Tamandua tetradactyla: one gene and its partners. The protein of the gene in region 1 interacts with the protein of each later gene in a pairwise test. Links are inferred from orthologs where the notes say so. Each region holds a gene or a part of one and is shown in the gene's direction. Other genes may lie near its edges. The genes, in order: NUTM1, ZNF277, MORN4 and SH2D4A.

Region 1 (8,097 bases):
GTTAATTAAAAAAAAAAACAAACAGAAACACAAAACACCTTAATTACCTTGATTCATACTACACAAAAAATCTCAAGGCTACTTCTACTCAGAATTCGATCACACTATCCTAGAAAGTGCACCGCCAATAGCTGAAAAAATAATTTTGGGGGGAGGGGTGGAAATGATGCCAATCTTGTGTGACTTCGTTCCTTCAGAATGAAGAGCTACCTAGTTATCTCCCATGATCCAGGGCTGAGAATTCAGTGCCATGGTCTCAGAGCAGCAAGTGAAGCCTCCCTTCCCTTAACACCCAGGTTCTGGCTGAGGTAGTTGATCCTTTATCTGGTGAGTGTCCCGCAGTTCTAGTTGAGCAAAGTGCGTGCAGGCCCACCCTATCAGGCGAATACAGTATGGATCAGATTGCAAAAAAAGTGTACACCTGGCCACCTGTTGTGCATCAGGTGAATACCCCACAGGTTTGGCTGGGAGGAGGTGTGTGAAGAGCCACCCGATGTTTTTGAGGCCAATAATCCACTTGGGCCTGGTGGGAGAGGTGCGCATGCATAACGGGAAAAATATCCCACTACTGGATGGAGAAGAAAGAGAAGGGTGAGCAGCAGAGGGTGCAAGGCAGATCGGAATTCTGCCGCCGAGATGTCTGCGGGGGTGGCGAGCCCGCTCTTCTCCCGGCAGTAAAGGTCCCTGGGATCTGGGAGGAAAAGGCTAGCGGATCAAGACACCTCGGACTGCAGCTCGGGGTCTTGGCAGGTCGTTGTCAGTCCATCGAGCTCACGGTCTGCTTACTGATGATGTGTCTTGCGTGTGACAGGAGATGCTTCCTCCCCTATCAGGACCCCAGCGCAGGTCAGCCCCTCGCCGTCCTTCAGGTTCTAGCAGAAGAGGAGACTGCCACGCAGGCTGCCACCGGATGAGAAGGAGGGGGCGATCCGGCGTAGGGGAGTAGGAGGTCGCAGGTGCCGATCCCCGCGCCAGCTGATGCTGGTGCGCGCGCAGCTGTTGTTTACTAGCCGGTAACTGTTTCCGAGCCGCGGCGCGCGTGGGAGGGCTCCGGCAGCAGGGGAGGGTGCCCCCTCCCCAGTCAGACGCCAAAGCAGCCGTTACGTGACCTCGCCACCCCCAGCGCCCGGCCCGGCGGTCTGCAGCCTTGCCGCCGGAGCCCCTCCTTTCCCGCCCGACTCGTTCCTCATTCGAGGTTAACAGTCCGGAAAAAAAACCTGGGGGAAGGGTCGGAGGGCGGCACCGTCCTGCGCGCGCCCGGGAGCCCCGCCCAGCCTCTGCGGCCCGCGAGGTGACGGAGGACTGCGCGCATGCGCCCACCCTGGGCCCAGGCGAGCCGGGTGGGCGGAGGGGGCGGGGAGTAGGACCGAGCGTTTGAGGGTCCTGGGGTATCGCGGAAATTGGCAGTCGGATGTAGGGGCGGAAGCCTCGCGGGGTAGGACCGGGGTTGCAGTACTTGGAAGACATTTCAAAGAGGAGACCTCAAGGGCCATCTCTCTTTAATAAGAGTGTTTCTGAAAATACCATTCATAATCTCTGTAAGAATTATAACAATCCCCCCATTCCAAATATTTACGTATGACCCTTATGGGAATTTTATGTAGAATTCTATCCTAAAGCGTAGAGGCAGCAATTTTAGACGCACTGGATACTGCATGATTTTTCTTGTTTCCGTCTTTTGAAAAATAGTAGGCCCATTTTCTAGTCAGACTGAACGTTCCATTAAAGAACACTTTAGATAAATAATTTTAGACCTGGAAAAGACATTGAGATACTTTCTCTCTACTCCCAGTGCTCTCCCTATTACATTTACTGGCGATGGAGTTATTTTTTAGTGTGTATATTTAATGCATAAAGAGGTGTTCAATAAATGTTGACTAAATTTATTTGCTGTGCCTTTGATCAAGACATTTAACATTCTGGTCCCAGAAATTGGCCCTTGGCTTTCCCCGGGTCTTTGCTCCTCACAAGTGGAACTGTTTAAACCGCATCTTTAAAAATTGGTTCAGAACTGTAAAGACCCAAGCCAGGAAAACCCCTTTTCATCAAGTGGTACACAAAGTCCAAAGTCCATTTTAAAAGACCCAGGTAACAAAATGAGGAAAAAATGTGCAGCTCCTGAAGCCTGAACCTTTATAAAGCCTGTGGTACTTGATTCAGGTTCCTAGCTTTCTTACAGATACAGCAAGAAATCCATCTCCCCAAGGGATATTTTTAACTCAGGCAGGCCTGTTTTTCACTGGAAACCCACAGACTTTCCTTTGTTAAGAAATGCTGGATTTTACATCACCAATTTTTTTTTTATCACAGTGTACTTACATTTACTTATATATCCTACGTAATGCTAATATACTATAACTCTTAAGATTCCTCTCTTGTCTTTGAGCACTCATCAAGCTCTATAAGTTTATGTCCCAGGAGATGTTAATACCGAAGGAAAAAGTTCTCATTACTGCACAACAGTTTGCCTTTTCTCCTCTACTTCAACTAGGAACATTTCCAGCCCAGGGTCTAATTTCAGTCTATGTTGCAGGTTCCATGGGGAACAATGCTATTTTTTTTTTTTTAAGAAAAAAATCAGCATTGCAGTCAACATTAAAAAATAACAGTAGAGTTCATTTACCCACTCTTAAGAAAAAGAAACTTTTAGCATCAGGCCCTTTTTCTTGTTACTCGTATAACTTTAAATATTTCACCAATCATTACTCTCTTAATAGGTTAGGATAACTCCTTAACATCCTTTCTACCCAATGTTAAGAACTTTTTGAAAGTGACTAGGCTAAAATAAAAAAAAAATTAATTGCTCAAAAGGAAACTATCTCATTTCAACATTTTTGTAAGTTTAAGTAATTAATTTAAAAATCATCTTTCTCCGTTGATTATGATCCAAGTCCAGAGACTTCCTTCTTTCTCAGCAGTCAACAACTGTCCTCAACTTTTCTGCTAGGATGGTCAGACAACATGGGCCAAGCGAAATGTTATCTATCCCTTTCCATTGTAGTCTTTATAAATGACATTTGTGCTGATTTGAGTTACTTCTGCTAATTTTGACAAAGTAGGAAAAGATTGCTGAATTAGAATATGTTCTCCAAAAAGCAATTTTTAAACCAATGGCACTGAGCAGGCACATTCAAATCCAACGTCAAAAGCCAAGTAACACAACTGAGAAATAGGGGTTGATTAACTTGACAATGAGAGGAAGAAGCAACCTAGCATTTCTTGAGTGCCTGGATACAGTATTTTTCTGCACCCTCTTAATATGAAGTAATTGGATTGAAAGTCATTTATTATTGCTCCATGATAGAAGCTCAGGTCCTAAAAGATTTCAAGTTCTTTCTTGAACCTCTCATACCTCACCTCATCTCCTAAATTAAAGTTCATGAAGAGTTCCACATAGTAGCTGCCAGAAAGAATGCAAAATTAGGTTTGTGTAAAAAGAGAATTGATTAGAGACCTAAAGTTCTGGGAATATTTCCAGAGAGAAAATATGCATGTGGGCACTACTATTCATAAAGTTTGGACAAACACTACAGATATACTGAAAAGAAAGACTCACTAAATCCTCTCAATTTTAGAGCTGGAAGAGAACGTTGAAATGATGTGAAAAATAGCACCAAATTCTTCAAGTTGCACAAATAGGGGAAAACCTTCATCTCCTGACTTCCAATCCACTGGCCTTCCTCTACAATATGGTTGCTATTCTTTTTCAATAAACTCTTCCATTTTGAGTCAAAATGTCATTGCTAGGGGGCACAAGGAATGACAACATGGGTATTTTTCAGTGAATATAGACAGTTGTGAAGGTCTTTCTCAACCTTTCTTCCCCTTTCCCGACGCACTCCGATCAACAACAGCACATCACTACTCGCTGCTACAGCAGCGACTGAGTTTTTCTTACAAGTGATCTTATTGCCATGCTCTGGGACATTTCCCCCTTCATCTCCCTCGTTTTTTTTGTTTACCAACTCTTTTCTCCCACAACACACAAAATGAGAGCTCTTTTAAATCATTCTGTCTTTAATAACCCAACAGTAGTTCACAAAATGAAAAGATTCAAACTTGTTTCCTTTATAGGAGATGCTAACATGATTGCCTCACACAAGCATGATCAAAGGCAATGCGACTAGATTCCAAAGACCAAGGGTGGTAATAAAACAGGGCTTCAAGATTCACAGACTGAAGAGCTTATTTAAAGAAAGACTCCGAGGGGTAGCAGGAGACCGAAGAGACATGAAATATGAGGGACCCTCAGAGGACAGGGCGCGGTTGCTGGGTCATGAGCACCTTGAAGCGTTTCTTGATGGTGATTCGGTGTCGCGAGTATTTGTCGTCTGGGGAGAAGCGGGCAGGATGGGCTGAGCAGGTCTGTTGTCCCATTGGGTCAAGCTTCTGCTCGAGAAGGGAAGAGAAAACACGATCTCAGCACCGGAGTGAGGGGCAAACTCAATTACTGGCGTCATAAGGTTGACTGAGGCTGGAATAGGGGGTGCGGGTGGGAACGCGATAAGGCGCAAGCAAAGGGTTAGGAGACGCGACGGTCTGTTCAAGAAGCGGCACAACCCTGCGTCTACACGCCTCGGTTCCGGCATTTCTGGATCTCCAAACCTAGCCGGTCTCGTCCGCCCGCCGCCGCCCCCTGCCCCCCATTTCTCGCAGTATCCTCTCCTCACCTTCAGCGTATAGACCCGGTCTCCCTGCTCATTGAGGTAAAAGTGGAGAAACATGACCACGCTTCAAGCAGAGACACCACTTCCGTCCGCACGCTTATCTGCGCCTCTGCCTGTCCCACCACCTCACGTGCTCACAACGTCCTTCCGGTATAGCCGGAAGTCTGTCTCAAGCCATGACGGGAATTGTAGTCCATTTTTGGCATTTTCTTCAGCTGACCAGAAGGGGGCGCTCTATCGCAGGATTTGGCCTGGGGGCCTGCAGTTGTAACCTTACATGCCTTGATGCGTGGAGTGTACCCACTGTGTGCCAGGCACTGCTAGGCGTTAGATGGGGGTGGGAGTGAACGTGGGTTGAACATTAATGAATAGAATTCTGTCTTTGTTTTACGATGCCCACCCATTTGAGGGGCGGTGGGTGTCTAACACCAGGAGAGAAAAGGACTCTGGGATTCAGTACCCCTTTACCTTAAAATAATTTTTCCCCCTCCCCGCTTTTGCATCCGGTTCCCCGCCCCTTTTCAAACTATTGGCGGTAAAGAGTGCATGATGGGTATTCAATATTCTGCACAGCGGAGAGAGCGTGAAGTTATTTTATGAAACTGGTGAAGTATGTTTTAGTGGTCGAACCAGGATTCAAACTCAGGTCTCTTTCCCGCATTTTCAGCGCTTTTTCTTATAGTGGTGAGTAACTAATGATAGCATAAAAGAAACACTTCTAGTGGCATTTTGAATTTTAAAGGAACGTAGAAATTTTCTTTATGGGGCTGTAGCTTAAACAAATGAAATTAGAACCAAGATAGCATTACAAAAATGATTATTGCAGCAATATCTATAATGCAAAAACACTGAAACATATTATTAATTTATAACCACAAAAACCTGAGAGCTTTAAAAAAAAAAAAAGAATATAGCTTGCATTTGCACAAAATGCCTCGGCAAGGGTCCATAAGAAAAAGGTAATATTGGTTTCCTCTGGGATGAAGAACTCTGTTACAGGAAGAAAACTTGTTGCTGTATATTCTGTTTTGCAGTTTGACTTTTGAACCATGCTAATGTATTTACCTATTTAGCCAGGAGTAAATAAACAAAGGGCTTCCCTGAAGTCCTCATTTTATGTCATCTTACTGATTCCCTGTTTTCTGGAAACAACCCTGAGTTGTCTCTTAGAAGCTGGGAGGCTGAATTTTTTAATCTTGAGCCAGCACGGTTGTTCAAGGTTCGCATGGAACCATTTATTTAAAACAATTCAATTAAAATTATTTTTTTTAATTAAGTATTTAACAACAAGAAAATAATTTAACAAACAAAAAGAAGAACTTTCTGGTCTAGAACTTTTAGGCTACATGGCAGTTTTTTTATGTGGTGGGGCTTTTCGGCAGAAGGGATGACTGGTAAGGCTGGCCTGATGTGGACTGCCAAGCTTATGGTAGTAGACCATTTGAGGGCTGCAGGACAACTTTGCGAGTAAGTGATAGGCATATAGCAATCAACTATCCTGGATCTTCTGAGACAATCTGAATTTCAAATATTCAGTCGCCTTGATTCAGTATGCAGACTATGTGGTCTGAACTTCGTTTAGAAAATACAGCCATCATTGAATTAAGTCAAGGGTCTACCAACAACCTGTTATTAAGAGGAAGTCAGTTACTCTTGAACTGGGTGGGGCTGAAGAGGCAAAACTAGATATATTGGTGAAGAATTGAAGTAAATAGAGGTAAAACTGTTGTGTTGGGAATTTGAGAAAGTATTTTCAAATTGCCCTAAAGAGGTACATGCCAATTGTGCTGCCAAACCCTAGTTTGTTACCAAACTCAGTTAGTGCCTATTTTTCAGAGTCCTTCGTGGAATATTCCCCTCATCCGTACCCCCTATTCCAAGCCTCCCCTCCCCCACTGCAGAATGCCTTGAGTCCTAGATTCTAGTTCTATTTTGATTCGATCTTTACCTTCCCTTTCTTGGATCCCTGGTACCTTCTAAGCCAGCTTATTCTCTGGGTCCTGGAGGCTTCCAGACAGCCACAGTTGGTGCCCAAATCTGAGAGGATAGCTTCAGATGGAGGTAAGTCAGTGGGTGTCAGATAGGGAGGGTTCCTGCCACCTACTCTCCTGCCACCTACTCAGACCCTTGGGGATTCCCATTTGACACTTTTGTCTGACAGCAAGCTCTTTGGGCTGGCCTAGAGGGAGGAGACCTGTGGACCCCACCAAAGGCATCACACCTGGGGGAGGCTGGGGAGGGAGACTGAACAATTCAGACTGGAGTTTGGGGAAGGAAGAGGGCTCCTTAGGGGTAGATTAGGACACCTCAGAGGAAGTAGGCTAGGTAGAGAAAGGCTGGCAATTAGGAACTGGATTCTCTAGGAGGGGGACCACATCAATGTGTGTTTGTGCAGCAGGGGCAGAGGTATGTGGTGGGAGGGGCCCAGAAGGGTTTCAAGGGGAAGGCCCAAGTTCTTAAGTCTTTTTCTTTAGGTGCCTGCTCTAGCATTTTGCCCTGAGAGAACTGAGATGAGGTCACTCTTCATCTTATAAAGGGAAGAGGGAGAGAAGATAGGGTTGGGGGATGATTTTAGTCAAAAAAACAGTTCAGTGTCTCATCTGTTGCCAAGCCTGCAGGGAAACATTTTCCTGAAAGCTAGGCTGGAAAGTACTCTAACTGCCAGGGCTCAGAGCTTCACAGCAACTTCCAGCCCCAGAGATGGCTTTTCTTTCTGTATAGCAGTTTTCCTTGATTCATCAGGGCCCAGGGAGGTGGTGGTTAACTCCAACTGGGAAGAAAGCTTTGATTTTATGTTTTGTGGGACTCAGGCCTTCAGACCAATTTCATTTTGTTCAGTACTTTCGGCCATACTTGTGGCCTTCTGCGCTGCTGTTGAGATGACTAATTTGCTTATATTCCATGTCTCCTTCAAGGCCAGGAAGTAGAAGCTGAGTGTTGTCAGTTTGCCAGAGGAATGCTCTTTATAAGAGCAGGGTGGGGTGGGGGGATTAGTATGAATTTAGGCAGATTATCTTCTATTATTGTTATTTAAAGTCCTAGGAGACACGTCCTAATTAATTAAGCACCTTTTGTTTATCCTTAGTCCCCTTAACTAGAATCCACACAAGCAACTCGTGAGCAAGAATTGTGTTCCAGACTTCAATTATCCTTCTCTAAGCAACCAGCTCACAGTCTTGTTCTGAGTGACTCCTAAATTTCTGGTTTTAGGATTTCAAAGCAGAAGGACTGCAAGGCAGTCTGCAGCGCCAAATTTTTAACACGTCTGGCAGCTCTGGAAACCTCCCTACATCTCCCACCCTTCACCCATTTCCTGGTACTTATCTAATCTTCTGTAGTCATTCCTGGCTATTATATAACAGAATTTCTGGGAACCAAACATCTAATCCACACACTTGGTCCTGGGGACAGGGCTTCTGTGAGTTGTGGC
Region 2 (7,595 bases), on another chromosome or scaffold:
TGTTATCTGGACACACCATGGTACCACAAGCAGTAAGCACTTTAAGAAACTGTTAGTTAGGAAACTGCAAACAGCTAAGAGGAAAGGTCCACTCCCTCCTAATTCTCTCCCACACAGCGACCGTAACAGAGCCCTTCTGAAAGGAAGGCCACTCGGAAGAGCTTGCATAAATAAGAGAAGGTGCCACTTTCCCTAAAATAGGGGAAGCTTTCAAAAGGAACATGATTCCTATCTGGATAAATTTTAAAAAAAACACTTCAAGAGATATGGAGGACAGAAACATCTGTGAGGTCTTAGTAATACTAGTATTATAATAATTCATTCCCAAAATGACACCTGTGATCTTCAAATCAGCTTGTTCTGAGTTTTGTTTCTAGGAAGGCTCATGGATATTTTTTGCACTGATCAATCCAGTCCATATTTTTCTGGCCAAGCTCAACCCAGCTCATGCATGTAAATCACCTGGCTGGGTTTGAGAGCTATAGTCTTAGGAAGACGCACTGGCTCACCTGGAAACACTGTGCATAAATGACTGTTGAACAAATTAATGGAGAAATGTATCTGCAATTCTCTTAACTTTCCCTGTGAATAACTGCCACCACTTTAGAGGGGAGGGGAGGCTGACAGATGAGGGAGTGCAGAAGACAGATATGATCGTGAGTAAATTTGTGAGGGGGAGATGGAAAGCTTTAGTCACTGTCCATGGAGCTCCTGCTGGAGAAAGGGAATTAAACAGATTGAGAAAGTAAGCAAGTAGCACCTCATATCTGGCAGCTTGCCAGGCATCTTTTGCTTACCTGTGATCTCTGTTTAAAGCCATGTGGCATACATAAACCGCAAAAGTGTCTCTCTCATAGCAACCTCTAAACAATGGAGATGTTTTCCCTTCCAAAGGACACATTTGGTTGGAAAAGCTCCACAGAACTAGCATTGGGAAGAACCTTAGATATTATTTGATACAGAGGCTGGTACCCAGAGAGGTTAAGTGACCTACGTAACATCACCCAGCTAGCAGAAGTGTCTGGATTAGGATCAAGAGCTAACCAGAATCTCCCAAGATATAAAATATGCCTATGATTGTGCCTACTAACATGTTTTTAAAGGAATAAAGTTCCCTATTCCTCAGGTTTGCAGCTTTATCACTACAACTAATTCCCTTGAACTAGAAGGCTTAGGTATATGCTTGAGTATACATCGTTTTAAGGTAATTCACTGATTAAATAGAAGAGATGCGCCCACGCATTAGATGGTTACCATCTTTATCTCTGATACATCTCACTACAGGTATAAAATTTAATAACTTTTATCCATGTTTATAGTATGTTGCTTGAAATTAAAGCGTAAGCATATAAAGACACAATTATTCCATATATACACGGTGATAAATAAGTGTCATTGCAGAAATAAGTGATTTATACTGAAACCTTAGGTACTCCAAGTTACAAAGGCTGATTGATTTCAAAAAATGAGGAAACTGAATTACTACTACACCTGATATTAGCCAAACACGTGACCATAAAGTATTTTTTTTTAGTGTGTATGAGGATTAGTTGAGAAAAGCACATACACTAATCAAGGTTAAAAAAAAAACCAAAAAACCTTACAGCATAGGCAGCTACAAATAGTGCTCTCCATGGTGAGAAATAGTCCACACATAAGTATCCTAACAAAATTTTTACAACACACACATACACACACACACAAAAGTCTAAGAGATGGATTCTAAAAAACTGTTTCACACTCCACAAGCCAAATGCACAAAAATTAATCAAAGATGATTTGCATTCCTATATGTGTAATATTGTATAAATGAGCACAGCAGCAATAATTCTGGGCAGAATACCCCTCTCTGTTCTCACCTTTTACTCAACCTCCTTTTCCCAAATGCGTACAGACCCTTCCACCTCACCACACACACACACACACACACACACACACACACACACACACACTCCGCGATCAAATCACACCAAGCCAAAACCAAGGTGTCTGCTGCAGCCCAAAACACTGACTGATAATATCCGGTTTGCCATTCCAGGAAATCCCAGAGTGATTTTTAAGCCTCTGCCCACAGCTTGTAAAGAAAGGGGAGAGAAAAAACTAATCGATACCAGAACCCCAGCTGTGACCTGGCACATAAAGAAATCAAGAAAATAAATCCCATTCATAATCTGTATAATTTAACACTTGGAAGAAAGCAACATCTGGGATTGATTCCAAGCGAGACAGAGTTGCCTGGATGGGTCTGCACTTCCTGCACTGAGTGTTAAATCCAGCAGGGAGGCGATGCCCTCCGGTTATTCACCAGTGCACCAAAGGCAGTCTTTTCCCTATCGTGGGTTGATCTACCCAAAAAAGAGGAGAGTGAAGATAAGGAAAACAAAATCACCCAGCATCTCCTCCTTGACAGTTAAGTGCCTGGCAAAGGCTTTGCTCAGACTTTTACAAGAGTGAAAACTGAAAGCCGTTCTGAAAGGTGGGTCCAGGACAAACTATTGTCTTGCTCACAAGTCAAGATCCAGAGAAGGTAACGTAAAATATGGGTTGCCTCTGTTTAATCCTACAGTCCTTCCAGTGGACTCCAAAGTCCTGTCTCCAGGAGAAGTTGAAAACAAATCCCTTGTGACTATGATTCTCAGGAAAGGCTTTCCAGATCTTTTTAATTGCAGGAAAATTAATTTAAAGTGTAAGCAGATATCTGTACGTGTCTGAACCCTCCCCCCCCAAAAAAGTACACCAATGGGCAGTTCAGGGCATTATAGGAATAGAGTGTTAGTAAGATCCATAATGCTTTTTCTCTCTTAGACCTTCTGGGAGGTTATAATTGCATTTGGTCGCTGCAGGATTGTCAGAGAGCCTGGCTTCTTAATAGTCACAAACCTAAAAGGAGTAACCGTCCAGGGACAACACAGCTGAAATCAAACAACAAAAATGGGAATTGTAATCGGTCTGAAACGGGAGGAGGGAAAGGAAGGGAGACTCCTGTATTCATCAGTCAACATTAATGTCCTTTGTTGTTCACCTTTGCACACAACAGCGAGCGCTACCCTATTCATTTTTCTCCGAATGCCTCCGTCAAGATAGTGCTTTCCTAAAAGCTGGCTCCCTGCCTCGAAGACCCAGGCTTGCAGATCCCCCTCACCAACATCACTCCACAGCCACCCTCACCCCCAGCCACAAGGGAAGCCAGAAGTAAAAAAACACTTCTGAAATACCCGTTCCTTGCCTAAAACAAGAGAGCCAAGCGGTGCAGATGTTGAAATTTACCAATCCCCCGACCTCCAACACACACACCCCGTAAACCCTGTATGGGAGGGAAGGACAAGGCTCGCACTAGGCTCGGTCTGTCAGAGCGGCTCTTTTCGAGGACTGTGCCACATTACGCACTCCGGGAATGTTGATCCGAGCCAGAGGAAAGGTTCTGCGCCTCCCTTCTGTTTGGGAGATGTTCTCTGAGCGCGGTTGTTGTTGTCTCCATCCCCACCCTGAGAAATCGCTGCAGCCCACTGCCGTCTCCCGCAGCTCTGAGGAAGAGGGAGAAGGGAGAGGAACGCCGTTCACCCTCCTCTTCCAACTTGACACACGCACACACACGCACGCACACACACACACGCGCGCACACACACACCGTCACCACTCCAAACTCCGCAGGCAGAGAGGCCGGAGCGGGCGGGCTGGATCGCACACTCCGCCAGCCGTCCCGGCGCTCCAGGAGACCCAGCCGGGTGAGACCCGGGCAGGCGACGCGGCGCGCACCTCTCTGCCCCGGGCTGGCTCGGCAAAGCCCTGGGCAGCATTAGGCATTTCCAGCCGAGCTGAGTGAGAGGGGCGCGGGGGCAAGGACACGAAATGCGCACCCGCTCCAGCCAGAGCAGAATAAAAGTTCGCTCCGCGGAGACTCACCCACGCCGTATTTCTCGTGCTCCGTAGGTATCCACATGGCTAAAAGGGACTCCGCGGTCTTCAGGCTTTGTAATCCACGCACCCCTTCTCCGGCTCACAACAATGCACAACACCGGAGTCGCGGCTGCAGCCTGGAGCTCAGCGGCTCCGCGGGGCTGCGGGCGCTGGGCAGGGTCTGCGCTGAAGGATCCTGATCCTGGCGTTGACACCGCGCGGCGGAGACTGCGCCGCCCGCCCCTCTCCCGGCGGTGGTTGCTCACAGTCCTCCGAGGCGCTCCCGAGGACCCGGCGGCGCAGTCATTGTTCTGATTCACTGAACTAACACGCCGGGGCACTCTCGGGTGCACCCCCGCCCGCCCGCGCCTCTTCCAGCCCTGCCTTCCCAGCGCCTCCACAGCACGCCGGGAATTGTAGTTCCCGGCCTTTATCCCGGGAAGGGGCGTGGCATTAGCGGCAAGGGGCGGGAATAAGGGTCCGCTTGCCGTGTCCTTTTGGCCAGGAGCGTGACGGCGCGGCGTGGGCGTGGAGAAAACGCTGCACTGATAGGAAGTTCGCCTGGAGCCGCGTTTCCATTGGTGCTTGTCTGCCCCATTCTCGCCCTGCGACCGTCCCCTTTCTCTTGAGCCGCGTAATGGCTGCATTTAAGACCCCGGGGGCTGCTGTCAAAGGGGAGGAGGACCGTAGTGGTTTCTGCGGCAGAGCTAGAGTTTTTCGTGATGAGGGTGAGTTCTTGCCCCTGCGGTGTAGGGGACTTTCCTTCCTTTCCCCCGCTAGGAGAGCAGCCGGCCGCTGGGCTGAGCCCCGGAGCACGCCGGCTCTGCGGCCACCTGGGCGCGAGGGGGAACACGGGCGGGAGCAGGCTGGAGTTAGGGGCGGCTACCTCGCAGAGGCGATCCTGAGAGGGCGGAGAAAATTAGGTGAAATCGCCTTCCCCACAGCCAGGGAATCTCCCTGGGCTTCTCCCTTCCGCTTTCAAGCGCCAGGCTTTACGCTCACTGCTGAATGGGTGTGGGTCAGGTGAGCGCGTGTGATTATAACCTTGGCATTAGCAAACACCTCTTTTTCCTTGCTTTTCCTCACCAGTCCCCCGCCTCCGCTTAGGTTTGCTTGATTTGTCTCGGAAGATGTATTTTATCTGGTTTTCGGAGGTTTTCAGGTCGCAAGGTGGTCACTGCTCTCTACAGATTTGCCCGGCTACTGGCTGGAGCGGCCCCTGAAGGGTAACTGTGCGTGTCTCACAGCCTCCCCTAGCCGCTCATTGATTGCTGTCGGTGTTCTCCAGAATTGGAGCCCGGAAGATCCTCCTGTGCAGGGTCCTTAGAGAAAGAGGAAAGAGAATGGTCACTTGTACTCTTGATTTCAGAGAAATGAAAGGAGTGATGAACAGTCATCACAGCACCTTTGACTTTGCTTGACTTTCAAGTGGTGATCTGTTCTGTTTTTCACCGTAAAAGTCACAGACCAAAACTTTGTCTTTAGGAATCCCAGCTTTATTCATTTATCCTTTAGTCTGTCCCCTCCAATTCTCTGCTTTTGTTTTTGGGTCGTAATTTAGCACAGTAAGTTGTCTTTTTTCTGATGGATAAGTTCCGGGGCTTGAATTTGGTTTTCGGTTCCTACTCGGGTTTTTGTTTCCTTCTCTCAATTTTTTTTTGCTTTCACCGTTAAGCCGACATTCAGTCTCAAGTTTTTATCTCAGCCCACAGAAATATGTGCAGTTTCTTCCCACTTTCCCATCAGTGGAACGCTCTACCTGTAAAATTAATTCATTTCAATTCCTCTGTCAAAGATGTAAATCTTTGGTAGGCTCCTGAATTAAATTTTATCAACACACTAAACAGTTAATTATTGTGTTCCCTTGATACTTGTTTTGGTTGGCCATACATTTGACTAACTCTTATCTGATAATGGACTGTAAGGTTTTCCAGATTTTGGAAATTTTTCCAGAGAGCTACTAGTTTAAGATCTGAAGATGAAATATTTGGTGAATTTATCTCACAAATTAACTGATAACTAAGAAAATTGGGCATGCTTTTCAAAAGCATTGTAAACATTTAAAAATCATTGGTTATTTTTAAGTGATAAAAGTTTCATTATAAATATTTAAAACATTCAGAGGTGTATAAAGTGAAACCTGAAAGTTCCTCCTCCACCTAGCCCCACTCTCTAAGTTCTAAGGGTTTCTAGCATACTCCTGTATAACACACATTTATATGGTTTTGATTTTTTTTTTATCAGAAATCATTCTGTGTAAACTTAAAGATCTGTACCCTTCTTTCTCTCAGTGGTCTGTCATGGTCAGTCTTCGGTATTAGTACATTTGCTGCTTTATTCTTCTTGAAGATGTGTCCATTGTATTCCATAAAATGGATGTGCCACACTTTAACCATTTATCTATTAGTGAACATTTAGGTTGACTTTAGTTTTGTAGTAATATTTCGGTGAAGAGCTTTATATACATATTCTTGCCCACTGATTGTGTATTTCTTGAGGAGGAACCGCTAGGGCAGTTGCTTTAAAATTTTTTATATATGCCAGATTTTCCTCTTAAAATGTATCGGCACACATTCCCACCAGTGCCATAGAATATAAGAGTGGCCTACCTCCCCCTGGCCTTACCAACTTTGAGGAAAACATTAATTCAGGACCAGTGCTTCAGTAATGGTTGGATTGAATTGAGTAACCGATAGAAAGCTTCATTTTAGGGCCCAATTTGTTTTCAAAAGAACTGAGCAGCTCTATTTTCTCTTATTTATAGCTGTCAGTGGGAGAGTTTAATGGTTGGCTTATATGTTAGCAGGAAAAGTTGTAATTGAATATCCCCCTTCATATAATCAATGTATCATTCTATGACTTTATCCAACTATTTTCAGTGCTTGTTAGGTGATACAAATTTAAGATGAAGGTAACAATATAAAAGCATATTCGTATTTTTTGTTAAACAACTGCTTAAATTAGCCTGTCTTTGTAAAATCGGAGGCTATCTTGATTTCTAGAAAACTGTCTTTTGAGAGGTTTCCCTTCAGTTCTAATTAAAATGTCAATCTGTGTGCTTAATATCCTGGGACAGAGGGCACAGTGGAGTCAATTTACAGAAATTCTTGCAGTTCTACTTGATCTCTGCTGTAAGGAGCTCCTGAATGGTAGGCAGGCAGGTACAGCACCTTCCTGAGAGCACTGTGTTGCCAAGCTTTCTACAGCTCCAACCCTCTCCAGGAAAGTCCCTAAACTGATTAGATCTCAGTTCAAGTCTTTCACAACACTGCTTTCCTTTCCATGTATGAACAGTAACTAGGATTTCGTACTGGCCTCTGAAATTAAGAACAGATAGTAAATAAACTCAACATCTCTTACACTGTGTCGGGGGAAGGGTTTGTTCTTTTGCTGTTTTGAGTTAGATGTCAGTAAAATGACACATCCGTGGTTTATTAATTGACAGTGCCTTTAGGAGGTTTTGTGATTGAGATGATTTCTCCTGACAATATTCACCTCTTTCTCCAAATTATAATATGCTGACAGAGTCAACTTTTTTCTGTCCAAATGCGTGCCCAGTAGATCATGATAATGTTAATTGGGATTTATAGTTCTTTTCCTCTGAAGACCTTATTAGCTCATTTGTAATGTCTCAAAGAAATGGAAGATAGCAGGTATTGTCAACTTATTCTTGCATTCCCTGTTTCACTCAATGGCAT
Region 3 (7,472 bases), on another chromosome or scaffold:
TGGAAGTCTTTCTTTTTCAGGATCTTAATATATCATACCACTACCTTCTGACCTCCATAGTGCTAGCTAAGTAGAGCTCAGTTTTATGTGGTTTCCCTTGTATGTAGTAGATTGTTTTTCTCTTGCAGCTTTCAGGGTTTTCTGTTTCTCATCAACATTTGACAGACTGATTAGTATGTGCCTTTGGGAAGGTCTATTTGGATTTATTCTATTTGGAATTCATTGGGCTTCTCTGATTTGCATAATTATGTTCTTTATAAGGAAGGGTTGAGAAGTTTTTCCTCAGTATATCCTCAACTAACCTTCCTAGCCCTTTAGTCTTCTCTTCTTCTTCTGAGACACCAATGATTCTTCTATTTGTGTGGTTTGTTTTGTTCAATCACTGCCCTGAGATCCAATTCATTTTTTCCATCATTTTTGCCACTTGATCTTTTATGTGTTCAAAATCAATTGTCCTGTCCTCTAGTTCACTTATTCTTTCTTCTGCTTCTTCAACTCTGCTGTTGTTTGTTTCTAGTATATTTTTGATGTGGTCTACAACATCTTTAATCTCTGTGATATCTGCTATTTTTCTCTTTATTCTTTCAAATTCCTCTTTATGCTCTTCTAGTGTCTTTTTGACCTTCTTTATGTCATTAGCCATCCCATTAATTTTATTTAGTAGAGCTATATGAACATCTTTGAGTAGTTGTTCCAAAGTCTGTGTCTCCTTTGGTGTTTTAATTTGGTCATTAGGTTGGGCTGTATGTCTGCATCTTGATATGTTTAGTGATCTTCTGTTGCCTTCGAGGCATGTCAATATCTTAATAAGTGACTTTGGAAGTTGATTTCCTTTGGTAGTCTAAAGCTTTGTATTTGTGGGATGTATGCGGAGCAGGATGCAGGGATGTGGTGAGGGCACAACAGCGCTGTGATGGGTTGCAGCTCAGTATAGGCCCAGGTTGGGGACTGGTGCCTGTGAGCATTGGGTGCTGGGCAGGGGTTTGGGTAGTGGGGTGCAGGGGCCTTGGGAATGGGGTGCAGCTCAGGTAGACCTTGGAGCGCAGGGGCAGGATGTGGTGCGGGAGACACAGGGGTGGGGTGTGGCAGGAGACAGATTGGGGGTGCTGTGCAGATGCACTGGGGCTGGTGCACAAACAGGATGTGGGTGGGGATGTGGAGGCCGGGATCCTGAGTATCAGGATGTAGGGTAGGTGGCACAGAGGTCATTGTTCAGGGAGAGGGGTCCAGGGGGGCCGGGATGCAGATTTGGAGTGTGTAGGGGCGGGGCACAGATCGCTGGGGTTGCAGGTCGTGGATCAGCAGCCGGTGATATCGTGGACTGGGCCCTGGGGCCGGAGCGCAGATGTGGCGGTTGGAGCAGGGGTGCACTGAAATCTCCTTTTCACTTTCTCTTTCCTAGGCTAAATGCTGACAATTTTTCCTCCTCCCCTTTTAACAAAAAGTTTTTAAAAATCCCTGCTCTCGTGCCACTTAGTCCACTTGGTCTGATTTCTCCATGCTTATTTGTTAACTGAAGAAAGATACCGTTCCAGAGACGGTAAACGTAAGGTCAGAGGCCGCTACTGTTTTATTCACCCCTGTAACCTCAGTGTCTGCAGACAGTAGGTGCTCAGTGAAAGAAAGGAAGGAGGATACAGGCCGTGACCTCAAGCTAAGGCCACAGCCTCTGGGGCAGTTGGAGAAACAGAATCAACATTTTTTTTCTATTATAAGAGTTCACCCATTGGGGGCTGCAGCCAGAGAGTCAGCGAAGGCCTTAAGTGGGGCATGTGCTATTCACTGAATCTTGAAAGAAGAATGTAATTAAATCACTGGAAAAGATTGAGGAAAGAGGGCACACCAAGCATGAGTGAGTAACCCGAGGATCAAAAGAGGAAGGTTAAAGGATATAGAGAAGAGAGTAACCTGCTTGATTCAAGGGGAAACAAGGCTGGGCTGGATTACCAAGGGCCTGGAAAGCCATGAAGAGAAGGCATCTGTTAGGTGAACAGCTGCGGAGAGCTTTAGAGAACAGTTCTTCACCAGGCAAGTGATCTGGGGTGGACCAACTCCAGACCCAGGCACCAATAAGTAACTCTGGAATAAGTAAGGGTGGCATCTTTGAAGACGGATGCATAGTTGGAGTAATTGCTTGTTTAAATCCATGGACTATTGTTATGGTTAAAATTTATACTAACATTACCTCCTAAAGTTTAGAATGTAATGGCTATGAGCATGGGCTTGGAAATCAGACAAATCCTAGCTCTACACTGACTACTTTGGACAAGTTACTTAACTGCTCTAAGCCTCAGTTTTATCCTCTAAAAAAAAAAAAAGGAGTGATATTGCTACCTCACTTGTTTAAAAAGGATCAAGATAATATATGAAAAGCAGATAGCATAGTTCTTGGTACATAAAAAACACCAAAAAAAAAAAAAAAGAGTAGCATTTTTCACTGCTGAAGTTATTGTTGATATCATTTTGTTTTATGCTTAAAGTAACCAGTAGACTAGAGGTATGGGTTTTCACAGAAGACAACTAGCTATGCAGTCACCAATACTTCATAACCATTCTTTCTTGAATCAAAGTATTGCTACAGCTCACTAGAAGTTGGAAAACTGTTATTTATTTGTACATATGATAATATTTTAAACCTTTTTTTGCCAAATAAGCCATTCTAGGCAAAGGTCCATACAAGGGATTCCATTTCCCTTTTCAATTACAAGACATAATACTTTCATTTCCTACCCAGATATCAAATAATCAAGAGATGTCTGTTTCTTGTGTCCCAGGGTCCAAAGTCACATTGATGCTTTCTTGGTATCTTTCATATTATTTAGCCCCTGAGCTTCAAATTATGGTCAAGGAAAAGTTCCAACATTTAGGGTTCTCCCTTGAATTCTAAGGTTTTTCTCACTAGAAAACCCTGAGAATTTTTATCTGCATCTATACTTTAGAATTTGATTTTCCTTTTACTAAAAAGAATGAAAATACATTCCCGATTACATATGCAGAGCTAGTACTTACTGAATGGTGTGCATGTGCCAGACATGTTCTATGTGCATGATAGATTAACTCATTTAACCACCATAAGAGCCCCTGTGATGTTGAAAATTGATACCTCAAGAGGTAAAGCAACTTGCCTGTGGTGACACAATTGATAAATGGCTGGACCCAAATTCAGGTCAGACTGAATCCAAGAATTTAACACTGTAGTTGCTTCTTTATTAAACATCACTATGAAATGTCTTGTATTCACTCCCTTTCTTTCCCTCTTCACTGATGCCATATTAGTTTTGACATCTCAGGATGCCATAACTACATTACTTCAATAGCTTCCGAGTTTGCTTCTCTGCCTCCAGTCTCTTTCTCTCTGATCATCTCTGGGTATCACCTCCATAGTAATTTTTTTAAAACACCAGTTTCATTATGTCATTCCTCTGATCAAAATATATATTTTAGAAACCATGTCTTCTCCCTAATTTTCAGATGCCTCCATAATTTGGCCTCACTCAACTTACTTACCCTTATGTCCTCATATTTTCTAATGTACATTCTCCAATCTAATAAGATCCATTTCCTTGACAGTACTCTCAACTACTGCAATTATATTTAAGATCAATACCACACAATTTAGCAAGCTTAACGATTGAGTGTTAAAGCTGGATTGAAGTTTATAAATCTGCTAATCCAATCTAATTTTACAGGCTGCAAAGCTTAATAACTTGCTTGAAATCACACACAGTTGGTAGCAGAGCTGGGATTTGAACACAGTATCCAAAATCTTTTTTTTTAAGTTTTTAATCTACTATTTATTGAATATTGGCTGTCTCAGACATAGTACTGAGCATTTTACATTGCATTTTCATACTAGTCCTAGAGAGCCTTTATTGTAATTAGTATCAATTTCCGTTCTACAGATGAAGAAATCTCAATTTAGAAAAGCAGTTTGCCTACTCCTTTCATGTGCTTGACTTCTCTTAATTATTAAATGCAGTCTTTGATTTTTCCATGTGCAGGAGTCTTTTCTTCTACATATTCAGGCAGTAAATCCATGAGCACGGCGATCATGTCTCTTCTAGTCTGACAGAACCTAACACCTTGCTGTACTCATACCTTCAGTAAATAAATATGTAGATTAAGGGATTGATGTGTATGATATTGGAGAGGGTTTGTTCCAGTCTTGGCATACAAATGGTCTGGGTAATAACAGTGACAACAAAAATCCCTATAACAAATGCAAAGGTGTTCTTATATCACAATGCCTGGTATAGGGTTGAGACCCGTTAAACAGCAGTTATCCTACCCAGTGCTTTACAATTTACAAAGCTGCACTTCTAAAACCCGATATAGGTTCTGTCTTTAAACTCCCGGGCCAGACCTTTTAGGATCGGAGCCACATGAGTTGGTGTTCACTGTTGCTACTGACCCAGATTTTGTTTTGTTTGGGGTTAACATCTCGGCTAGGCTGTCCGTGGATAGACGTGAACTGGATACCTGGGTCACGGCGGCGCATCCGCGTGTTCAGCCCCACCCCTCATTCATATAGTTGGCCCAGACTCTCGGAACACTCCGCCCCGCACAAAGATGGCGCAGAAGCCGGCTGGCCCAATGGAGAGTGGCGTTGCTCCTGGTTGCCTAGGTAACAGCCAATGGGAAGCGGGAATTGTGCCCAGTGCGGCTGCCTGGGATGGCGGCGTCAAGTAGGGAAGGGGGTGGTAGAGGTTGTGGAAACCAAGGTGTTTGGGCAGAACCCGGCGGAGCTAAGGTCCCGGCCGCTGAAGCCCGGAGCCGGGGCCTGATAGTCGTCCCGAAAGGTGGGGCCCAAGTGGGCTGGCAGCGCGGGTGGGAAGGGACCGGGAGGATGGGCTTAGGTGGTCCGAGCAGGAAAGGAAGAGTCTGGGGAGCGGGGCTCCATCCCGTTCGCGCTCTGGAGGCCGGCTGCGCGTGGGGGTCCCAAATCCGGACCTCCCTCCTCGACTGCTGGGGCCGAGGCCCTGGAGCGCCCACGGCACCCAGGTGAGCTAGCGGGGAGTGTGAGGGCGTTGTCGAGAAGGAGTGGCAGACCTGTGAGAGCAGAGGGCCCGGCCGGGATGGGAGAGCAGAGATGGGGAAAAGGAGTGGGGCTCGAATGCAAAAAAATGGTGGAAGAAGGAATGGGGAGGTCGACAAGGAAGTGCCGTCACGTTAAGTCTAAGGCTTTGTCTGCGCCACTGCCCGCCTCTGTCACACCTGGGTGGAGAGACATCCCTCCTGTGGAGGAATGAGATACCGGAATGCCTCAGTTAGTTGATGGGTGGTCTCCCGGCAGTCTAGCATCTCCAGACTGCTTGGGGACCAGCGGGAGTAATTCTTTTATTAGAACGGTCTCCTCTCCCAAAAATTAGAATAGTATTTTGGGAGTGTTACTCATTCTCCAGTTCCCTCCCTCCTCGCTTCTCTCCCTCTCCCTCTTCCCCTCTCCCCTTCAGTCTTTTTTTTTTTTTTTTTCCTGGTGCCAGGATTTTCTTCGCACTTTCTTCAGTCTAACCGGCCCACAGTTTTCCTGAATAAGATCTTTAAATAGTAATGATACATTCGTTTACATTTCAAATGGGGGAAGGGGGAGTTACACTTATAATAAAGTTAATTCAAGCTTATTTAAAAACATTTGAAAAGGAACATTTGAGTCTTTGTTCTAGGTTCCTTAGAAGCATAATACTTACTCATCAAAGCCTTCATGTTCTTCTCTTTAGGATTCTCAAAACTCAAGAATTGCTCTCTTTCATAACTGAAAGGGGAACTTTGACCAGACAGTCCTAAGTTGTGTGGGGAGGGTGGCGTTAGAGGGACAGTATGTACGCATGTGTGAATAGTTAAGGTGGGACTGCTTCCGAACAATATTCTTTGACTGAAAGTCTGTTCCCCTTTAAGGTGTTTGTTTTTTAATTCTCTCAGTTTGGATATAGGTTACTGTGAGGGCATACATTTTGTTTAAGTTTTATTTCTAAAAAAATTTTTTAAAAGACACAAATAGAAGGGAAACGGAAGTTCTCTTTATTGTCTCAGAGTCCTACTTGTAAATGTATGGGGCAGGAGAAAATGAAGCTAGCAGGGATGTAGTCTGTGGTGCGGACTAATAGTGTATTGTTACTGGTTTATAAAGAAAAAATAGTAATTTTCTTTTAGGTAAATGTTTGGACTGATGCTTTGCAGCCCATCATGGAGGGCAGAAGGGGTGGGTGTCTATTTAGAAGTGCTGAATCATCTTGGCTTTGTAACTAGATTCCATTTGTATATTTGCAGCCTAAATCTCTAGGCCATCTACTCTCTTTAAAAAGATTATTTGATGGGTGCACGGGTGGTTCAGTAGTAGACTCACCTTTCATGCACAAGACCCGTGTTTGATTCCCAGACCATGCACCGCCTCCCCCCGCCAAAAAAAAATGTTTATTTGAATAACTGATACAAATACTGATTTGCATCCCTTGCTGAAGTATTGATTTTTCAGTCTCCAACAACTGGCTATATTTTATTAAATTTGATTTGTCTCAATGACCGTGGTTATTGGTGAAATTCCTTTTTGTGTCAGTGCTTGTGCAGCTCACTATTAATTAGCATGATCAATTACAGAAGTCATAAATGAAAATCTCGATACTGTCCCAGGCAGTGACAATATCAACTATTTGGACAGATGTAGTAGTTTCTAGCAAATGTGTCCAACTGAGGCCCAAAGCCCTTGGATCCTATACATGTTCCTTTAATTAGCACTTCTGATTGTTTTGGGGGAATGGACATCATTTGGACAAGCAGGTGCTGAGGGGAATTTACTATAACTTCCTAGATCAAAAAAGAATGGAAGTTTGAAGTATGGATTCTTGAAAACAAACAGGAGAGGACATTGTCAGGGTTAGGTTGAAAGATGGTATTCCAGTTACTATTGCTACATAAAAAATTACCCTAAAAGTTAGCAGTTTAAAACAGTTATTTTATGATGTTCATGGATTCTTTGGGTCAGGAGTTCAGACAAGGCACCGCACCGTGAGTGTGCCCTCTCTACTCCACTAACATCTGGGCCCTCAGCTGGGAAGACTGAATTTAAGGTTGCTGTAATCATCTGAATGCTCCTTCACTCACAGCTGGCACCTGGACTGGGATTCTGCCAGTTGGAGAATTGCCAGTTGGAGCACAGACAGGTGGTTTTTCTATGTAGATTAGCTTCCTCACAGCTTAGAGGCCTCAGACTTCTTATTTGGTGACTCAGGTCTCTAAGCAGGTGTGTACCTGTGAGCAGGATGAAAGTTGCATCACTTTTTATGATGTAACCTCAGAGCACACCCTTACTTCCCCTGTTCTATTGGTTGAAGCAGTCACCAGCCTAGATTCAACGGGAGGGGCCTTAGACTCCACCTTTGGATGGGGCAATGACAAGGTCAAATTGTAGAAGAAGATGTTGAACAGGAAATATTGCAACCATCTTTGGAAAATACAATCTACCACATTGGATAAAA
Region 4 (7,109 bases), on another chromosome or scaffold:
AGTTTAAATGCTTTCATTCTTTTCCTTTCATATCCACCTCACACTCACTGCGGAACAAGCATTTAACTTACTTCCTTGAGTTAAGACTTTAAAAAGTGGGATTTCTGACCTTGACAGCAAAAATGATATTGGTGCATATCCTATTTTCCTTTATAAAGGATAAATGTGAAGAGAACCTTCATTTTCAGTAGAACTTAAACCCAAATTGACCTTTAATTTATAAGAGCTGAAGAGCTGCTTCTCTAATCTTTCTGGCAGCATCAGAGCTGCTGTTTTGTACAACTCCAGGGGGTGCCTCACATATCAGAGTCTCTACGTGTGGTCCCTCTAGTGACCCAGTGCCGGACAAGACAGCCCTGGGCGGCATGGTTCCCAAACAACATTCTAAAAGGAACGCCCAGAAACATGACAACTAAAATTTGTCATGGTGTCCATTACTACAGGTAATTGACAAAAAATATTTAGTGTATAGTAAACAATATTTTTAGCTTTTCTCTTTGAGCACCAGTAGTAGATAGAGGAAGTACTCCCACACACTTGTGTGGTGACACCCATCTATACATCTCTGCACTGCCAGTACTGCCCAGTCTTCAGGAGAGGCTCAGTGCCTGTCCCCTGCCCAGGCCCTGGGTGCCCAGACCCCACACGGTATGAGTGTGGCTGGCACGTGAACCCCTCATCCTTCCCCACTCCTGTGACTTTGCATCCAAGATCATTGGGTGGGGAACTGTTTTCTCCAGAGAGCCACTAGTCCAAAGTGAGTGGAAAAGTAACTAACAGCCACACCAGGAAATAAAAAGGCAATTCGCTTTCTTTTGGAGTAATATAAAACAACCTTATTGCCTGCTTTTGGAATTATATTTTAAAGTATTTTTTGATTCCAGATTATGTCAATTAAAAGAGGGAATACTAGGAGATGGCAGAGGAGACTGGGAAACAAAGTAAAGATGATGGAAAAAAAATATGGACATAAAAGACGAGGAAAGAGTTAAATATAGGAAAGGCACATAACATGGATGAAAAGGGGACAATGAGAGAAAAGGAACAAGAGACTAGGCTCCAAATGATTGCTCTGTTTCTGTACAGTCTGCATTCATTAACACACAGTTATATGCACAGCAATCATTCATTGAACACCTACTCTGTGCTTGGGCATGGGTAGATTCAAACTTCCATAGGACATGGTCCCTGCCATCAAGAGGTTTGATTTCAAAGGGCATAAAGCATACACATAGCTAACTTTGCATGACAGCGCTGCATTGCAGATGGAGCAGGGACCCTGCCTGTCTACTTTTCTAGATCCCAGTCACAACAGAGCCTGGTACCCAGTAGGTGTTCACTAAATGTTTCTTGGATGTATGAAATGCTAAACTATGATACAAGTGTTATAACCCTATGGGAGAGGGAAGGACCATTTCGGGCTGGATTTGGGATAGTCAGGAAAGATTTCCTAAAAATTAGAGTTTGAAGGGCAGGTGGAGTTTTCATAAGCAAAGTTGTGAGGCAAGACATTTTAGACAGAGGGCACAGTGTGAAGCTGTGGGATCTGTGTAGGTTTAGGGTCTGGAAAATGCCAGGTTATCTGAATGTAGGGTTTATATTAGGAAGGCGATAAAGCTTAGGGAGATTAATGTCAGATTGTCTTGGTGCTTCAAAGTTTGTAAGCAGTTTAATTTTAATTCTTTGGGAAAGAGATGGATCAGAGTTAACATTTGAAAAGGTTGATTTGATAACTGCATTCACAAATTTCTGACCTGAAGAACCTAAAGCACAGTTCCTGAATGCATAATCTGCCGCTCCATTTTAAGCCCAACCACCCAGAGTGCTGCTCAGAATGCAGATGTTGGGGCCCCACAAATGTATATTTCCTAGGTCTTGAGGTCCAGGATCTGCATTTAAATAAGCTGCCCACATAATTTTTCCTGTACACTAAAGCTAGGTAAAACTGGCTTAGAAACTAGAGGTGTATTAGTTATCTATGCTGTGTAACAAATTATCCCAAACTTAGCGTCATAATACAATAAATAATTATCTGAAAAAAAATTATCTCACAGCTTGTAGGTCAAGAATTGGACAGTGGATTGTTAAGTGGTTCGAGCTCAGGGTCTCTCATGAATTTGCAATCAAGCCGTGAGCTGATGCTACAGTCACCTGAAAGCTGGACTGGGACTGCAAGAGCCTCTTCCAAAGGCTGTAGGCAGGAGTCTTCAGTCCCTCTCCACGTGGACCTCCCCAGAGGGTTGTTCATGAGATGGCAGCTGGCTTCCCACAGAGCAATGCTGAGAGAGTCATTTATAATCTATGTCAGAAGTGACATATCATCACTTCTGCCATGTTCTATTGCTCACCACAGACCAACGCTGGTACAATGTGGGCAGAAACTATAGGAGGTAGAGATCTTCTGGCTAATTTGGAGCCTGGCTACCAAAAGAGGCAAAACCCATAGCCTAAGTGTGAGGCGATAGGAACTTGAAATTATACTATGTAGTACGGAATAAAATGAATTACATGTATTATTTCAATTAATGCTCATAACAACTCAATGAGAAAAGTACTGCAATTATTCAATGGGGAAATCGAGGCACAGATTTGTTATGACAAAGGGAGTTATTACACAGATGGACTTCTCTGGATGCCTAGGGAGATTAATGTGTGGAGGAAGGGAATTGGCTGTTACCGATGTCCTATGGAATTTATCCTGGCTAATGAAGTCCGTTAACCGTTCAATACATCAAGTTTTAGGATTTATTTTCAGACGGCCACAACAGCTAACCAGGGGCAACTCACATTTCAACCTAAAGCACTCCACAGGTCATTCATTTAATAAGCAATGGGAACCAGATCTTAGACCAGAAATTCTCCCCAGACAGGATCCCTGGAATGGCCTGTTAAATAGTTGGGTCCTGTTTGCTGACTTTACCCAGGATTTGATCTCTGCCCCAAGCTCTTCTAACTTCTGCAGTCTGGAGAGGCTGGGAATTAGAAAGTTATTTTTAAATCCTGCAAATCTGGCTCATGAATATATCTGGTAGGCTGTGTAGACCAGCACCTGAGAACACTCCCTGTTTATTACATCTCTTCCCAGCACAGAGGCAAGCTGAGGTTCGTCAAAGCAGGCTGTTTTCTCCACACATTTTGAATGCTGCTCTACAATGGAAAATGCCTTCCAAACTTTCCATTCTGCTTTTGCTGAACTTTCCTCCGAGGTTTCCTCTTTTGTAGTCAGTCAGCACCTCCCTAATATTCTCATGAGCCACCCTAACCTGTTCTTGCTGAGAGTCAAAAGACTTCATGACCTTCTTTCTTTTCTCCAGTTTTGTTTCATTTCAACTCCCTTTGTCTTTTTTCAGCGTTCCTCCTTTTGCTTTGTCCTCCTTGAGCTTTTCCTACTCAACCACACCTATAATTACAAGTGCCCAAGAGTTTGATCACTTACTTAATGTCAACAACAACACAAGTAAGTTCCGGAGCTGCGGGAGCAGAATGCAAGAGGGTGAGCCGACTGGGCCGGTGGGACCGGGCCAGCGTACCTGAAGCCTCCAACCCCCCCCCACCCCCAACTTGCCAAAACTGCGTTCTGCAGTGGCCAGACCTGCCAACATTAATAAGTTCCGAAGGACCCAGAGAGATGCAAGACGTCACAGACTGCAGATGTCATTCCCCAATTAACTAAGAGTGGAGAGTGGAGAGTGGAGGGGGAGGTGGCCCTGTCGCCCGCCATCCCTCGCCCCGCCCCCCGGCCCCGCTCCCAAGGACCAAAGAACCTCGGGGTCAGCGCGCCGGACAAGCCGGCCTGAGATGCAGCGGGCAGCCAAGCCTGCCCGGCACTGGTGCCTCTCCAGGCGCCCGGGTGGGGCCGCGAGCGCCCAGTCAGGCCCCGGGCATGCGGGCCGCGGGTGGGGCGGGGCGGGCGGGCGGGTCAGGGCTGAGGGACGCCGTTTGCCAACAAGTTGGCCTGAGTGTTTGTCCAGCCAGTCTGTGCCGCTCGCAGGCGCCTCAGCCTCCTTCTCCCTTGCTTCCCCAACAATTTCTGGCGGCCCAACTGGACCGGGCTGGTGCTCGGGTCACCCAGCCCAGGCAAGCTCCGGGCTCTAAACAGGTAAAGGCTGGGGTGGGGTTAAGAGAAGGGTGTGTGGGGCTGGGTGGGGGTGTCCCCCGGGGGGAAGAGTGGTAGGTGCAGGGGACTGCAGGGAGGCGGGGCGGCAGAGGGAGGGCCGGCCTGGCGAGGCCTCGGTCCCGGGCGCCGCGCGCCCCTCCCCTTGCCCAGCTCCCCCTTCCCCTCCCCCGCTCCCGCCCCGTCCCGCCCCGTCCCGCCCCGGGCAGGCTCAGGTGTGGGGTTGAGCCGGGCGAGCGCGGCCGCGACGGGCTACCGGTGTCCGATGTCGGGTGTCCGATGTCTGGAGCAGGCGGCTGGGTGAGCGGCGCCCCGGAGGCCCGGGGACTTGTGGTCCTGGGGAGCAGCTGGAGAGGGAGGCCTTCGGGGGAAGCTCTGGGGATCCCCGCGGGGATATGCGCGCCCGCGGAGTTGGGGCGGCCTTGGGGTTGGCTGCGTAGGAGGGTCTTGTGCTCTGCAGCTTCCAGGCACACTTCTGGGGCGTCAGCCGGGCCTCCGCCACCTCCGCCAGCCCCTGCGCGCTCCGGGACGCCCGCGCGCTTCAGCCCGCCGACTTGGCGGCGCCCACCCCCACGGCCGTGCGGGCCAGTCGCACCCGCATCCTCCGTGTGGGTAGTACCGGGTGGACTTCCTTCCCAAGGAGCTGTTCTAGAAAAGTCCCGGGGAGGCGGTTTTAGCCCGCGCCGCACCCCCGCTGTGGCCTCCCCGCGCGCCCGCACGCAGGTGCGCCTCCACGTGGGGTGGGGCGAGACGCGCCCCGGCGCTGCGGGTCCCCGCGGCCGCCGCCCTCGGGTCGCGGAGCTCAGCCGGACCGCGCGGGAGGCAGACCCAGGCTGTGGCCCCGGTGTACTCCACGGTGACCTTCCTCACCTAAGTGGGCACCCTGCCCGCAGGACTCACGCGGGCGCCGGAATGGGGGTGGGAGACGCAATGAGCAGTCAGAATCTGTAAGTTAGCTCAGGGTTGTCTGTCCCTGCCAGGAGAAGAAGCAAGCGCTGCGCCTCTTTCCAAACTGAGATTCTCTTCATCTCACAAAAGGCTTTTATTTGATTTAGGAGAAACAACGGCTTGTTTAACAGAAACAACGACTTGGACGAATATGATCATTTGTAAAAAGTGAATAAAAAATGAAAGATATAATGTGGGCACTGATTTGGCATGACTGGAATTCGTTCCATAAATCTTGTGTTACAGTAAATTTAAATTTCTGAAGAATGGTGAATGTTTATAAAACAACTTACCAAATTACTGTCACCTCTGGTAATTAGTTTTGTTCTCAGAATGAGTCCTTTCGCAGGATAGAGAAGTGACGATTGTCTTCAAAGAATTAGAGTTCAAAACTATATTCTTAACATGAAAGTTTTACTGTCCATGTCACAGTATTTATTTGAAGTACCTCGGTCCCTTTGGGTGGGGGGAGCTCAGTTATTAAAATTAAAAAAAATTAAAGAACAGTGGCTGTGGAAGGGGGGGCATTGTGGAGAACTAAAAGGATCCTGTGTCTCCTTAGAAGTTGGTTTTGGGGATAAATTGCAGGGTTGGATTTGCTGCTTATTCTTTTTCTTGAGCAAAATGCTATACCAGAAGAAAACCAAGTTAATTAACTAAACTTTAAATGTTTTGGATCTTGACTAGCTGGAAGTTGCTGCACTAAATGTCTTAGGGATTAGATAACTTTGGTTAAATAACTTTGAATCAGTATCAGCAATGATTGTTGTGGGGAGTGAAAGTAGGAAAACCCCTGCTGAGTTAATTTCCTCATTTCCATTTTCTCTACCCTGGCTCCACTTGTCTCCATAGCTTCAAACTATATTATATCACGGAGTCTACAAATTGTGTAGGTCCACAGCATGAACTGGCTGTCATTTCACAGATGAGAAAACCGAGGCCCCCGGAAATGAAGCGTGGGCTCAGTCACACCGTTCATTAGAGGCGGAGCCGGGTCCCAGGCCCTTGCTTGTTGTCCTTATCAGCACACTGTGCCCTGGTTATTTTCCTTCCGGGCAGCATGAACACCTGGGGGAGAAAGCGTGAATCTCTACAGGTGAACCAGCAGCAGCAGAGGCATGCAATACCGTTCAGCAGCCTGAAGCCACATATTTGATCAGCTGCGTCCCCAGGTATTCTCTGAGGACCTGATAAAACCAGTGTCTTTCCTTTAAGATCTGCTGGTTAACTTCAATGCCAGAAGTGCGTGCTTGGTACAGAGCTTCGTAAAAAAGCTTGAGCCTTTCATCACAGCAGTGGGGTAGGACCCATCCCATGCGTGAGACGCCTACTGTGTGCTGCCCTTGACGGCGTGTGGGATGGGGAAATGCGGAAATTCTCTGTGCCTGTGACAAAGCTGGCAGATGGTATGCACGCCTGGGCCAGCATGACAGTTCCTGTCCTTTCTGGGGAAGGGTGATTTCAATACTGGCTACCTCTGCAAGCGTATGTATGACCTGTCACGATGAGGCTTTGCGCTCTGAGTCCTGTGCCTTCATTCAGTTTAGCATTTCTATTGCTGCAGGAGTTTCTGGTCTTTGTTCTGAAATTCAGACGTGCTGCCCCGTGGTGAGGTTTTGATTCGGGGCTCACAAACTCACAAAGAGGCCTCTGTGTCGTAGAGTACACTAGAGCAGACTCTCCGCTTTCCAGCCTCTGTGCCCCATCTCCTTCTGTGAAATGGAGGGATTGATGGACCTGACTCTAAGGGTTATTGTGAAGATTAAATGAGTTGATGCATGAAAAGTGCTTAAGACAGTACCTGTCCAGGTAAATGTGAGCTCTTACTGGTCTTAGGGGACAGGAGGGAGAATGTGGATTTGGCACTTCGAGGCTTTTCATTTTTAGTCTTGACCCACCCCGTCACTGTTGCTATATATTTGCCCCATTCAAAATGGGGAACAAACTTGAAACCTCAGGCCTCACTGAACTGCTCCTTTTCTGCCATGTTTGCCGTGTGAGTCCATCATTAGTCACAGTGTGCCAACATAAGGACGTTTACTGGAAT

The links.
Region 2: the proteins of NUTM1 (region 1) and ZNF277 interact in a two-hybrid assay, tested with the Homo sapiens proteins (2 studies listed by BioGRID). The two-hybrid records come from large-scale screens. The link is inferred for Tamandua tetradactyla from reciprocal best matches to the Homo sapiens genes NUTM1 and ZNF277.
Region 3: the proteins of NUTM1 (region 1) and MORN4 interact in binary tests that used the Homo sapiens proteins (3 or more experiments, as listed by UniProt). The two-hybrid records come from large-scale screens. The link is inferred for Tamandua tetradactyla from reciprocal best matches to the Homo sapiens genes NUTM1 and MORN4.
Region 4: the proteins of NUTM1 (region 1) and SH2D4A interact in binary tests that used the Homo sapiens proteins (3 or more experiments, as listed by UniProt). The two-hybrid records come from large-scale screens. The link is inferred for Tamandua tetradactyla from reciprocal best matches to the Homo sapiens genes NUTM1 and SH2D4A.

The regions. Positions count from the first base shown.
Region 1 is NC_135340.1:45,697,968-45,706,064, reverse strand, and holds the start of NUTM1 (NUT family member 1), read left to right. Parts: upstream 1-4,998; coding exon 4,999-5,016; intron 5,017-5,288; coding exon 5,289-5,351; intron 5,352-6,652; coding exon 6,653-6,728; intron 6,729-8,097. Other genes in the region: NOP10 (H/ACA ribonucleoprotein complex subunit 3), read right to left, coding at 4,249-4,389, 4,671-4,724. UniProt on the Homo sapiens protein: Plays a role in the regulation of proliferation. Regulates TERT expression by modulating SP1 binding to TERT promoter binding sites.
Region 2 is NC_135327.1:151,535,124-151,542,718, forward strand, and holds the start of ZNF277 (zinc finger protein 277), read left to right. Parts: upstream 1-4,521; 5' UTR 4,522-4,534; coding exon of another isoform or gene 4,535-4,619; coding exon 4,620-4,625; intron 4,626-7,595. Other genes in the region: DOCK4 (dedicator of cytokinesis protein 4), read right to left, coding at 3,904-3,940. UniProt on the Homo sapiens protein: Probable transcription factor. Involved in modulation of cellular senescence; represses transcription of the tumor suppressor gene INK4A/ARF, perhaps acting via the Polycomb group (PcG) complex PRC1.
Region 3 is NC_135339.1:58,901,455-58,908,926, reverse strand, and holds the start of MORN4 (MORN repeat-containing protein 4), read left to right. Parts: upstream 1-4,312; 5' UTR 4,313-4,569; coding exon of another isoform or gene 4,570-4,624; intron 4,625-4,645; exon of another isoform or gene 4,646-5,001; intron 5,002-7,472. UniProt on the Homo sapiens protein: Plays a role in promoting axonal degeneration following neuronal injury by toxic insult or trauma.
Region 4 is NC_135329.1:19,295,786-19,302,894, reverse strand, and holds the start of SH2D4A (SH2 domain-containing protein 4A), read left to right. Parts: upstream 1-3,948; 5' UTR 3,949-4,099; intron 4,100-4,306; exon of another isoform or gene 4,307-4,414; intron 4,415-6,121; exon of another isoform or gene 6,122-6,234; intron 6,235-7,109. UniProt on the Homo sapiens protein: Inhibits estrogen-induced cell proliferation by competing with PLCG for binding to ESR1, blocking the effect of estrogen on PLCG and repressing estrogen-induced proliferation. May play a role in T-cell development and function.